2 linked regions of the Rattus norvegicus genome follow. The protein of the gene in region 1 purifies or fractionates together with the protein of each later gene. This does not show direct contact. Links are inferred from orthologs where the notes say so. Each region holds a gene or a part of one and is shown on either strand. Other genes may lie near its edges.

Evidence for each region. The genes of interacting proteins can lie anywhere in the genome.
Region 2: the proteins of Tubgcp2 (region 1) and Lgals3bp purify together in Homo sapiens (affinity purification with mass spectrometry; 3 studies listed by BioGRID and IntAct, counting the BioPlex papers as one, with this or other methods). This does not show direct contact. The link is inferred for Rattus norvegicus from reciprocal best matches to the Homo sapiens genes TUBGCP2 and LGALS3BP.

Annotation. Positions count from the first base shown.
Region 1 is NC_086019.1:204,227,629-204,232,823, forward strand, and holds part of Tubgcp2 (gamma-tubulin complex component 2), read right to left. Parts: intron 5,143-5,195; coding exon 4,943-5,142; intron 4,499-4,942; coding exon 4,309-4,498; intron 3,635-4,308; coding exon 3,489-3,634; intron 2,868-3,488; coding exon 2,687-2,867; intron 2,415-2,686; coding exon 2,234-2,414; intron 1-2,233. UniProt on the Homo sapiens protein: Component of the gamma-tubulin ring complex (gTuRC) which mediates microtubule nucleation.
Region 2 is NC_086028.1:104,123,912-104,129,817, forward strand, and holds the start of Lgals3bp (galectin-3-binding protein precursor), read right to left. Parts: upstream 3,938-5,906; 5' UTR 3,803-3,937; intron 2,095-3,802; 5' UTR 2,074-2,094; coding exon 2,022-2,073; intron 298-2,021; coding exon 106-297; intron 1-105.

The DNA of each region.
Region 1 (5,195 bases):
GTTTTGTCAAACTGATACAAACTAGAGCTATCTGGAAAAAGAGACTCTCAAGAAAATGCCTTTACCTTGCCTACAGGTAGGTCTACAGTGCATTTTCTTAATTAGCAATTGATGTGGAGTTACCGAAGCTAAAGTGGGTGATAACACCCTTGGGCTGTTGGTCTTAGGTTTTATAAGAAAGCAGGCTGAGCACGTCATGAGGTCCAAGGCAGTGAGCAGTATTCCTCTGTGGCCTGTTCACCAGCTCCTGCCTCCTGACCTGTTTGAGTTCCTGCCCTCAGTGATGGACTGTGTGTGGAACTGTGAGCTGAAATAAACCCATCCCAAGCTGCTTTTGGTCATGGTGTTTATCACAGCAATAGAAACCCAAGATAACTTTGAACAACTAACCCATCTCTCCAGGTCTTAAATCAACATTTTAAATGTCTCTGTTGTTGCTATTATGAATGAGGAACCGTAGGAGAAACTGAATACATCTTACAAGTGAAGATCTTTTATTTTACCTGTGAAGTGACGCATACTTGGTGAGATACGTGAAAGTCATTATTATGGACAAACAATACTGTTTACATTAACAATTAAATACTTGTTAGAGCCAACCACATGCCAGTTTGATAAGAGTTCCTGTAAGACATAAATATATGTCCACAAAGACACAAAATATAAAGACAAGAAAAGTAAAGCATAAAGAATAAAGGAAGAGGGTTGGGGATTTAGCTCAGTGGTAGAGCGCTTGCCTAGGAAGCGCAAGGCCCTGGGTTCGGTCCCCAGCTCCGAAAAAAAGAACCAAAAAAAAAAAAAAAAAAAAAAAAAGAATAAAGGAAGAAAAGCAAAAACAGCTCCTGAGCAAGGCAAACGCTCACCACTTGCTAACAGTCATGAACGTGTAGACCCTCTACTCCTGCTTGTCAAAGTAGCACAGGTGGGGACATCAGGTGAGCAGACATGACTCATTTGCCCCACAGCCAGCACCTGAGATGGCTCTTGTGTGGTCCACCTGGATGATCAGGTCAGACTGCCATTAGGAATAATGCACCCTACACAATAACTCCTGAACTTAATAAGAGATCCAGAAATACATGAAGAACAGAATTGCAAGGAAAACCAAGTTCTCAGGAACAGTGGAGCCTCAGCCTCACTCTCGTAACAGATGGAAGCTGTGTGCACAGCACTGAGAACCATCCAAGACCTGCCAAGAGAGGAAGAGCCCATGCAGAATCCCAGCACCATCATGATGTTATAAAACTTACATGAAATAGTGAGGTTAAAACTAAGTAAGAGAGCTGGAGAACCCAGGTTCAGTTCCCAGCACCCACACAGTGGCCCACAACTGTCTGTAACTCCAGGTCCTGGGATCCATGCCTTCCTCTGTCCTCTGCACACATGTGTTGCACAGGTATGTGTGCAAGCAAAATATCCACACATATAAAATAAAAATTAAAAACAAAAAAATCCTAAGCAACAGAAGAAAATCCTGAAAATTTACAACTAAATGGAAACAAATCACTAAAGAAATCATAGAGCCTCTTGAAATAGGGGAAAATAAAGCATCCTAAAATAGCCTAACTTCAAAATTCAAGAAACTACCAACAGAAAGTAGGCCCAAAGCTAACAGAAACAATAAGCTGAAGAGACAAAGAGAAAGGAAGGAAGTACTAAAACCAAGACTGAGTTCCTAAGAACATCAGTGGGACTGACAAGCTCTCACTTCCATGAGCGAGGAAAGAGGACAAACCACGGGACCCAGAGATGAAAGTGGAGTTCTCCTGCAACCTTAGAAACCATAACAGCTCTTACTGCATGGCCGCAAACACACACCCTGTTGATGGCAACAGAAATGTACTGGTGGCCAGGATGAACTCTGGAAGCAGAAGTTATGGAAGACCTCAACCGGCATGAAATGAAGCCTTGATGCAGTATCTCCCAGAGAAAAGAGCCCTGACAGACCCTGAATAACTCACACCACTCCCCAACCTGAGGAAGAAAGAGCATCCGTCCACCTACACTCCGTGAGGGGTTGGCCTGATTTGACACTGACATGGACCAAACTCACAGGAAAATTACAAACAGTGTCTCCTGTGAGACCAGACACAAATCTCTTAACAAAATGCTTGCAAGCCAGTGTCCTCTGAAATAGGAAGAACATCCGGTAGGACACCCTCACTGGGCCCTGCTATGTGTTCACTCCAGTGTAGCGGAAGCAAGGTGCCATGATGGTAAACACCACACTCACCTTGAGGTCGTCTTTGAAGGGGTCAGTGTTGGCAGTGCTCATTCTCAGGGCCAGCTCCAACAGAGCCTCCAGGCGTGTGGGCGTAATGTCCTCTACTGGCTTCCTGAGCTCCTCCTCAGTCAGGTCCATGAAGTGCACAAAGAAGTCCCCCTGGTCCATCAGGAAGTAGCGCTTGATGGACCTGTGCCAGGGTTGTTGAACATATAACCTGACCTCTGCCTTCAACATACAAGGAAGAGGTTTGAGACATGGAGCTGCTCTGCTCAGACACGGAAGGGGAGGGACTGACAGCAAGGAGCTGAGAGACCTGTTGGCTTGCATGGTCTGAGAACTAGAGAACGGAAACCCTGCCACCTCACACTGGGGCTGCAGGGAGCCCTTATAGAGATAAAAATGTAGTTGCTAAGAGGAACATTCTACTTTCAGCCCCTTGGATACAAAGTGAAGTCCAACCTCAGGTGGGCCACCAGCTCCTTCTCCTCCATGAGGAAGTCCAGCAGCACTTTGCTGGCATAATTGAACGCTTTCTCAATCTGCTCCACATATGCCCGCTCTTTGAGGGTATAGATGATCTCTTTGGCTACGGGACAGGTGACATCATGACCACATTCTCTGACCACATTTAGGTATTTTCCTGAGAACAAAAAGAAAAAGGAAGGTGGACTCAGTATCCCTGTACATGCTGAGTCTCAGGCCTGGGCCTTTATGACGCCAATCAAACATGGGGAAGTAGGCCAGACATGAGGTACAATTTGTTTCCTGGAAAGATTGTGCAATAGTTTTTCAGGTCTGTATTTTATAGGAAGGATTTTGAAAAGCCTTGAGAGATAGATTGCTAAGTAATCTCCTAGCCCTTTCTGATTCTGTTCAGCTTTCAGAGCAGAGCACTATGTTAAGGCCCCAAGGATTTGCCTAATCTCTACATCAGTCCCTATCCTGTGCAATAAAACTAAAAGATGCAGCTGGCCTGGAAGGTGTGGGTTCCTCATGGCTTTTCTTTGCTATATGATGGAGTTAGATGTAAAACCCAAGATAGAAGGCTTTGTCTGAGGCAGACAGCGTCCTGATTAGGGGGCTGAATAAAGTGATGGAGAACTAGGGCCAACCAGTGGCTAGAAGCTCAGGGTAGTAGGCCATTCCCAGCTAAGTCATCTTCAGGGGCAGAGGGCCTGGAAGGCTGTGATGACCCACGGGTCCCATGACACAGCATGAAGAGGCCATTGACCTCCTTGGAGAGCGGTCCAAGCATAGTCACCTGTGCTGAGGATCTTGCCTGCTACCTTCTGCAGGAAGGATGGGATCTGCTGTGGCAGCACAGTGTAGCGCTGGTCCCAGTACTTGTCATTGTAGTCCTCCTGTATCTTCTCCTTCCGCAGCTCGTGCTCCTCCACCATGAACTCACTGGAAGTCACAGTGTTTCAGGCCACTACAGGACAAGCCTGGACAACCTCGGGGTGGTCACATACTTCCAGCCTTACTTGGGAGCAGGAGTCTAATTTGCAGAGCTGGGTGGCTTCTTCCCTACTCTTGCATTATGGCAACAGGACAGACATATGGCTTGTCCTGGGTACACAGGTTTATCAACAACAGAATCAGACCCTCCCACAGAGCTTCAAGAACCATTTACCTGTGGCCAGAAGGAAACCGCGTCCCCTACTAGGCCCATCACACCAAATTCTCCTGTTTGGCCCCTCCATAAAGAAACACAAGGCCCACCCTACGGTAGAGCACACGCAAGGCCTGGGCTTCACACGCAAGGCCTGGGCTTCACACGCAAGGCCTGGGCTTCCTTCATCCCCAGTTCTCTATCAACTGGTCATTTGCTTTACATAATCAAAGGCATCATGCTCAAGTGACACACTATTCAACCACGTGGAAGCAGTAAGGACGTGGGCTCCAGAGTTAATACCAGTGTTCCTCATTCAACAGACAAAGCTGCAAGGCAGTGAGTGAGTGACACACGCTCCTCAGCTCACAGCCATTGTGTTGATGTTGAGGACTTGTGTCTGGCACCCGCAGAGCCTACTGCACCGTGAGCGTCCAAGTGAAAGGTGTCTGGCACCCGCAGAGCCTACCTGTATGGGTCGTGAATGACGCCTCTGTAGATCCACTCCTCCAGGATCTCAAAGTAAGGAGCGCTGGCCGCCTTGGTCAGATAGAGGCACAGCTCCTGCGCCTGGCTGTCCCCTGTGTAGTTGAAGCTCCTATCATGGAGAAGGCTCAGCGTCGACCCGCCAACACACTCGCCTTTATCCACGGAGGTGGCTGTGGGCAGAAAGGGGTGGCTCACTACCCAGACATCTAAGCACCCCTGGTGGATAGGAGCCCCAGCAAGCCAGGTACCATGTTCCGATGCCAAGGCTACAGTTGCTAATAAGACTGATCAAGAAAAGCCTCCAGGCCTAGCACGGTGGCACACGCCCAAACCTCAGCACTTGGGAGGCTGAAGCAAGGCGACTGCAAGTAAGAGGCCAGTGCGGACTGTACAACTGAGTTCGCTAACTAGTCTAGAACACAGAAGAGGACCTTGTTTCAACAACAAGAGAAAGGAAATGCACTGGAGCCTTCCTTATATAGGTCACTAAAACAAGATGTGACAAGAACTTTGCCTTGCCACCATGCCACCAGAGAGCGTTATGAATGACCAGCCCCAGACAGAATGGCCCTGCCATGCCTTAGGGAGCCCTCCACCTGCCAGCAGGTCCGCACCAAGGGAGGCCAGGATGTCAATGGTACGCATGGCTGGCTGGATGTAGAACCAGAGCTTCTGCAGCGAGAGGAGGCCCTGCCTGTGTAGCTGTTCCAGTTGTGTGACGAGAATCAGGTATTCCTTCACCAGGGTTCTCATGGCAGCAGCCAAGGCATGGTTCACCTGCCCATATTCAAATGAAGACTTCTCCTCAATGAACCTACAGCAAAGATACATCAGGCATTATGAGGGAGAGCTAAATTTCCAAACAAA
Region 2 (5,906 bases), on another chromosome or scaffold:
GGAGCCGCTTGGAGTAGGAACCGGACCTTTGGCGGGGACTGGGGCTGCTCACTGGGGCGCGGGAGGGGATGCCTGAGGAGCACTACTCAGGGACCTCAGCCACACCTGGCCCGAAGGCGGCTCTGCTCAGTGCTTGAGTAGCATTCTCATAGCCCAGGGCCCGGCAGACGACGTGGGCATCCAAAAGGTTCCAGAGGTTGTCGCACACTGTCCCCCACCGGCCTCTGTAGAAGATCTCCACGCGGCCCTCACTGGCTGAGGCCCCATTAACCAGGCGCATGTCTCCATCCTTTGCACCTGTCAGGAGAGTGGAGATTAGCTGGGAGGAGGGCTAGCCTGGTCTGATGCCCACTCCCCGTGTACTCAATGCTCTGTGTGCTCTCTCGTTGAGCAAAGGTCACCCCAAACAGGGTGGAGTGGCCTTCTGGAGATGCCTTGAACCACTTCAAGGGGCCCTCCCCGCACGTGCATTCGTGTGTGTGTGTGTGTGTGTGTGTGTGTGTGTGTAAGGTTACCCACTGAAGGGCTGGAGAGATGGCTCAGTGGTTAAGAGCTCCGACTGCTCTTCCAGAGGTCCTGAGTTCAGTTTCCAGCAACCACATGGTGGCTCACAACCATTTGTAATGGGATCAGAAACCTTCTTCTGGTGTGTCTGAAGACAGCTACAGTGTACTCACATACATAAAAACAAATAAAAAAAATCTTTAAAAAAAAAGGGGGGGGGCTGGAGAGATGGCTCAGAGGTTAAGAGCACTGACTGCTCTTCCAGAGGTCCTGAGTTCAATCCCCAGCAACCACATGGTGGCTCACAACCATCTGTAATGGAATCTGATGCCCTCTGCTGGTGTGTCTGAAGACAGCTACAGAGTACTTATATATAGTAAATAAAGAAATAAATCTTTAAAAAAAAAAAGGGGGGGGGTTGGGGATTTAGCTCAGTGGTAGAGCGCTTGCCTAGGAAGCATAAGGCCCTGGGTTCGGTCCCCAGCTCCGAAAAAAAAGAACCAAAAAAAAAAAAAAAAAGTTACCCACTGAAGAAGAGTGAAAACTCTGATGAGCCCACAGAGGCCATGGTCTATCTAGCTCTCATCTCTGGGTCTTTTTCTCCAAGAGGACACCTTGGCTCTCAGCCTACTGAGTGAACTTGGGGGGGGGGGGAGAGGCTCTTTCCTGGCTCTCTGAAACGCTGGTATGAAGGGGAAGGTGGGTCCTGGGTTCCTAGACACAGGCAGAGAGCAGATTAACCTCGGCTTACGATGGGTGATGTCTTGACACCCCAGTGCCACCTGTCTCATGGCCTCTGGACTGTCCCCACTCAGCAACAGGACATTGCCATGCTGCCTGCTCCCTCCAAAGTGTGGGGACGAGGGAGCTGTGGTGTGGGGTCCCATTGTAAGAGAGGAGCGGGGTGCACAGCGCTGATATCCCAACTCGCACATACAGTTGCTACCTCATCCCTACAGTGTCTGCCTAGAGGGGACAACACTGGACTAGAGACAGTCTGCCCTCAGGCACAGGTAGCCAAGGGAGTCCTGCTCCCTGCTCTCTGGGACTCCCGTCTCTGTCCATGCCGGCTGGGTGCTTGAATTGGGGTCACCCATGCTAGAGCGAGATACTCAGCTGAGGGTCCAGGATGGGCAAGGCTTTCAGACCCATGGTGCAGTTTGTAAACTGTTCCACAGGGACTCTCTGGCATTCTAGCCTGTGACCTGAGAGCTCAAACTCCAGGACAACACAGGCTGCACTCTCCCTCCTTGGCCCACTGATGAGGTGAAAAAAGATTCCTTGGTCTCTTCTCCAACACCTGCATTTCGGGGAGGGGGCAGGGCCCATACAGGGCCACCATTCAGAATGACTGAGGATCCACATGGCAGAGAATCCTAAGACATGGTGTCTTACAGGATGCCACCTGGCTTTTCTGCAAAGATGGGGAGGGGGTGTGTGTGTGACCCACACAGAACAAGGCACCAAGGCGCACGGTCTTGACTTCTGTTTTGGACCTTTCGCTGAGCAGGACTCACCTTGAGTCCCTGGAACCAGCAAGAACACAGAGAGGAGCCACAGAAGAGCCATTGCCTGACCTGGAAGCCCAACCTGCAGCAGAAGGAACAACAAAGTTAGACTGGCCACAGCTCTCCGGAGGAGACTGGTAGTTCCATGGTCCCCTGTCAAGTTTGTGGAGGACAGGATGGTGTTGTGGGTGGTCCCTCTTCCGTAAGGCCCAGATGGCCATGAGATGACCCTTATGCAGGCCTCTCTCTCACATGCTCTATGGGACAACCTTCAGGACAGTAAGTCTCCCCAGATGAGGCAGGTGGGTTGAGGGCTCCTGGCAACGAGAACCCAGGAAATAGACAAGAGGCTATCCCTCAACGGTTGGTCTTATCTTCAGGCAGCAGCCCCCTTCGGGGTGTGCCCCAAAGGGACAAGATATGCCAGTCTGGGAGGGTGTTGTGGATGAGGTTGGAGCAGGGAACTCTCAGGAGGAAGTGACAGAGACAGTTGCAGAGGTCATGGCGTGATCTGGGGATGAGTGGGAGATGGGTCAGGGTCAACTGCCAAGGTGCTGACACACAGGGACTCAATACTAAGACTCTCTCGCCTGTCTGTAGAATGGGCCCCACCCAGGCACTTTCTCTCGGGCCCTGCATGAAGGGGGCTGACCTAGAGAGCAAAGTGCAGCAGCCCTGGTAGACTCATTCTAGTCCCGAGGGCAGTGAGGTCGGGGCTGGTAGTGGACGGTGCTGTAGAGCTCTGTCTCCTGGGCAGGAACTCAGCAACGAATCTCAAACTGTTTTGTTACTCAGACCAGGGGCCCAGAGACCAGCAGTAGAGGTTATCCCAGGATCAGTAGAAACACCAGGATTGTCCTCCACCCCAGACATTCTGTACCAGAGCAGCACGAGCAAGACCTCAGTGATCCAGGGCTCTTGTAGCCATCTTGGCAAGGGTGAAGATAGTCTAAGACAAACTCGTGCCCTTCCCTTCGGTTATCGTACTACTGAAGCAAGGACAGAACTGGAATTCCCCCTGGGAGTCTCATGCTGAAAGGAGAAAGCTGTTGCCTGGTGACAGCCGGAGGGGAAGCTTGTCTCCAGGAAATATCAGCCCAGTCTGGGATTTACAGCCCAGGCATAGGGCAGACCAGTTAGCTATACATTCCTCTATGTAAACCTCATGTTAATATCCCCTATAGACTCTGGGATGTTAATGGGGGAAGGCCACTGGACTCTTCTCAGTGTGGCTGGCGGAGTCTGGCTACCAGGGGAGCATTCTCACTATAGGCTCTGACCGCTGAACTCTATAACTCGATGATGGGTGGGAAGCTTGATCCTTAGTGCTGTGCACCCAGTCTTATCCCAAGGAGGTCTGGGTTCCGGGAAACCTGAGTCCCAGGCAAAGTGCCCTGGGTGCCCACCCCCTCCATTTACTATAAGCTGTGGTTATAGGGTTTGTCCATGCTGGGTCAGGAACTTTAGGCCTTGGGAACATTGCAGGGTATGTGGACATTTTTGTCCACTGGATGACAGGGGCTGTTTCTGCCTGACTCCTTTGTGTGGGAACTTGGGATGTGCCTGCCTATGCTGGCTCATTCAGTACCACTGTGTAGGTCTGTTTAGTCCTGGGTGAGAATCCACAGACCCAGGAGAAGGCCGAGGGATGAACTGTACCCCACTCACCCCTTCAGTTGTTCTTTCAGTGAACATCCTGCCTAACTGTTTAGAGGCTCTGCAGGTCTAGGTGTTCCTGTGTTCTGCGACCCCCCCCCCCAGAAATTATGCTGTGTAGAGCGGGGACTCACCTGGGAGCAAGAGACAGGTAGTCAGTCACCTGTCCAGGCAGCTGCTGCAGATGGTCCTGGAGCCTCCTTGCTGGCTGCAGCTCGAAGCTTTCTGTAGACTGTTCAGCTGAGAAAGGCCCCACCATGTGGTTTTCCTCAGCCTCTTCCCCGGAAATGCTTTATAAACCTAGTCTAGTTTCGATTTCCAGAAAACACATGACGGAGGCTGCCTCTGGGGTTGGCTGCAGACAAGGCTAATAGCCCTCTGCTTGCTGCTCTGCAGGGAGGATGGCAAGCACCCAAGTGCCCTGTGCTGAGCTGATAAAACAACAATGTTGCGGCTGAACAGATACATGTCCAGGCTGGCCAGGCAGGCACCCTGGGAGGGCAGCTTGGAAGGGGATGGAACAGATATATCCCCTTGCTGGCCTGGTAAGCACAGTGGGGGGCAACTTGTCCAGGCTGGCCAGGCAGGCACCCCGGTGGATGGTGAGAAGATGCTGCAAATGGGCCGGGGAGCAGAGGCTCAGGTCACACAGTGTCTGTGAACATGGATGTGGGCTGCACAATCCTTTCCTGGATCTGGGGAGGCTGGCTGTGCTCACTGCACAAACCTTCCGTGCTCAGAGCATGCTCGGAGGGAAGGTATGTGGGCCACAGAGTGGTCCTGAGGGATGGGAATCGAGATAGAAAACAGGAAGCAGGGCTAGGAGCTAGGGGTGGCTTGCTGGTTAAGAGCATTGCCTACTCTCTCGGGGGATCTGAGTTCAATTCCTGGCACCCATGTTGGTTGGCTTGGAACAGGCTTTAAGTGAACTCCATGGGATCAGACTTTGTAGGCACACACATACACCCAAGTGTGCTCATGCATGCACACACGCAGTGCACATACGTTTAAAATTTAAATCTTAAGAGGTTTCTTTAATACCTGTGGTGGCAAACACCTTCAACTGGGAGGCAGAGGTAGGTGGATCTTTGATAGTTAGAAACTAGTCTGGTTTGCGTTGTAAGTTCTAGGTTAGTCAGAGCTACGCAAAGAAAGCCTGCCTCGAAGGAAGAAAAGGAGAAAAACAAACAAACAAAAAACCCAAAACAACAACAACAACAACAAAACTAACAACAACAGAGATGGTAACCTGCAGCCAGCCAATCTTGACACTGTGAGTTTGATCCCTGGAACTCACTGCAGGAGAAAACTGACTCCTGTAAGCTGTCTTCTGATCTCTGTATGTCTACCATAGCCTGTATGTGCATGCACGTGGACACACACAGTAAATAAATGTGAAAAATTATATAAAATTCAAAGAGGACTGGGAGGTTGCTCAGTGGTTAGGAACACTTGTTCTTCTTGCAAAGAACCCAGGTTCCCTTAGGAACTCCCACATGGTTGCACACAATCACCATAACTCCAGTTCTAAGGGATACAACGCCCTCTCCTGATCTCCATGGTCACCAGGCACATATGTGGTGCACACACATCCATGCAGACAAAACTTCCAAATATATAAAATACATTAAAATTAACCTTATGATAGGTTTATACAGTGACCTAAATCCCAACAGCTCCCTGTGGCTCCCCCAGCTGCCAGCCCCATAAGGTTTACTACCTCAAGACACTCAACTCTTGAATGCTATTCAAAACGTCCGACACAAATGACCCAGGAGGCAAAGTCAGGTGACTTCAAATTGGTATAAAATCACCCTGTTCCTTTCTGATGTATGGTTCAGGAATTTACCTGCTGTGTTTCTGTCCTTGGTGTCTACTTTTTTTTTTTTTAAGGATTCATTTATTTTATGTGTGTGAGCATTTTGCCTGCAGGCAAACACACCATGTACATGTGTGCCATACACCTGTGCGTATGGTGGCCAGGGTATCAGGTTTCCTGGAGTTGGAGTTACAGACGGTTGTGAGCCGCCATGTGGGTGCTGGGAATTATACCTGGCTTCTGTGCAAGGAGTATTCCTTATCAGTTGAGCCATCTCTCCAGCACCACCTCCCAAGTGTCCTTTATTAAAACTTCTACATCAATTCTGGTCTGGCAAATCCTTTTATCCTGTGCTTTGAGCTCTTTGTCCCAGGTATGACACCAGGGAGGGAGGCCCCGAGGTCCTCTAAACCCAGATA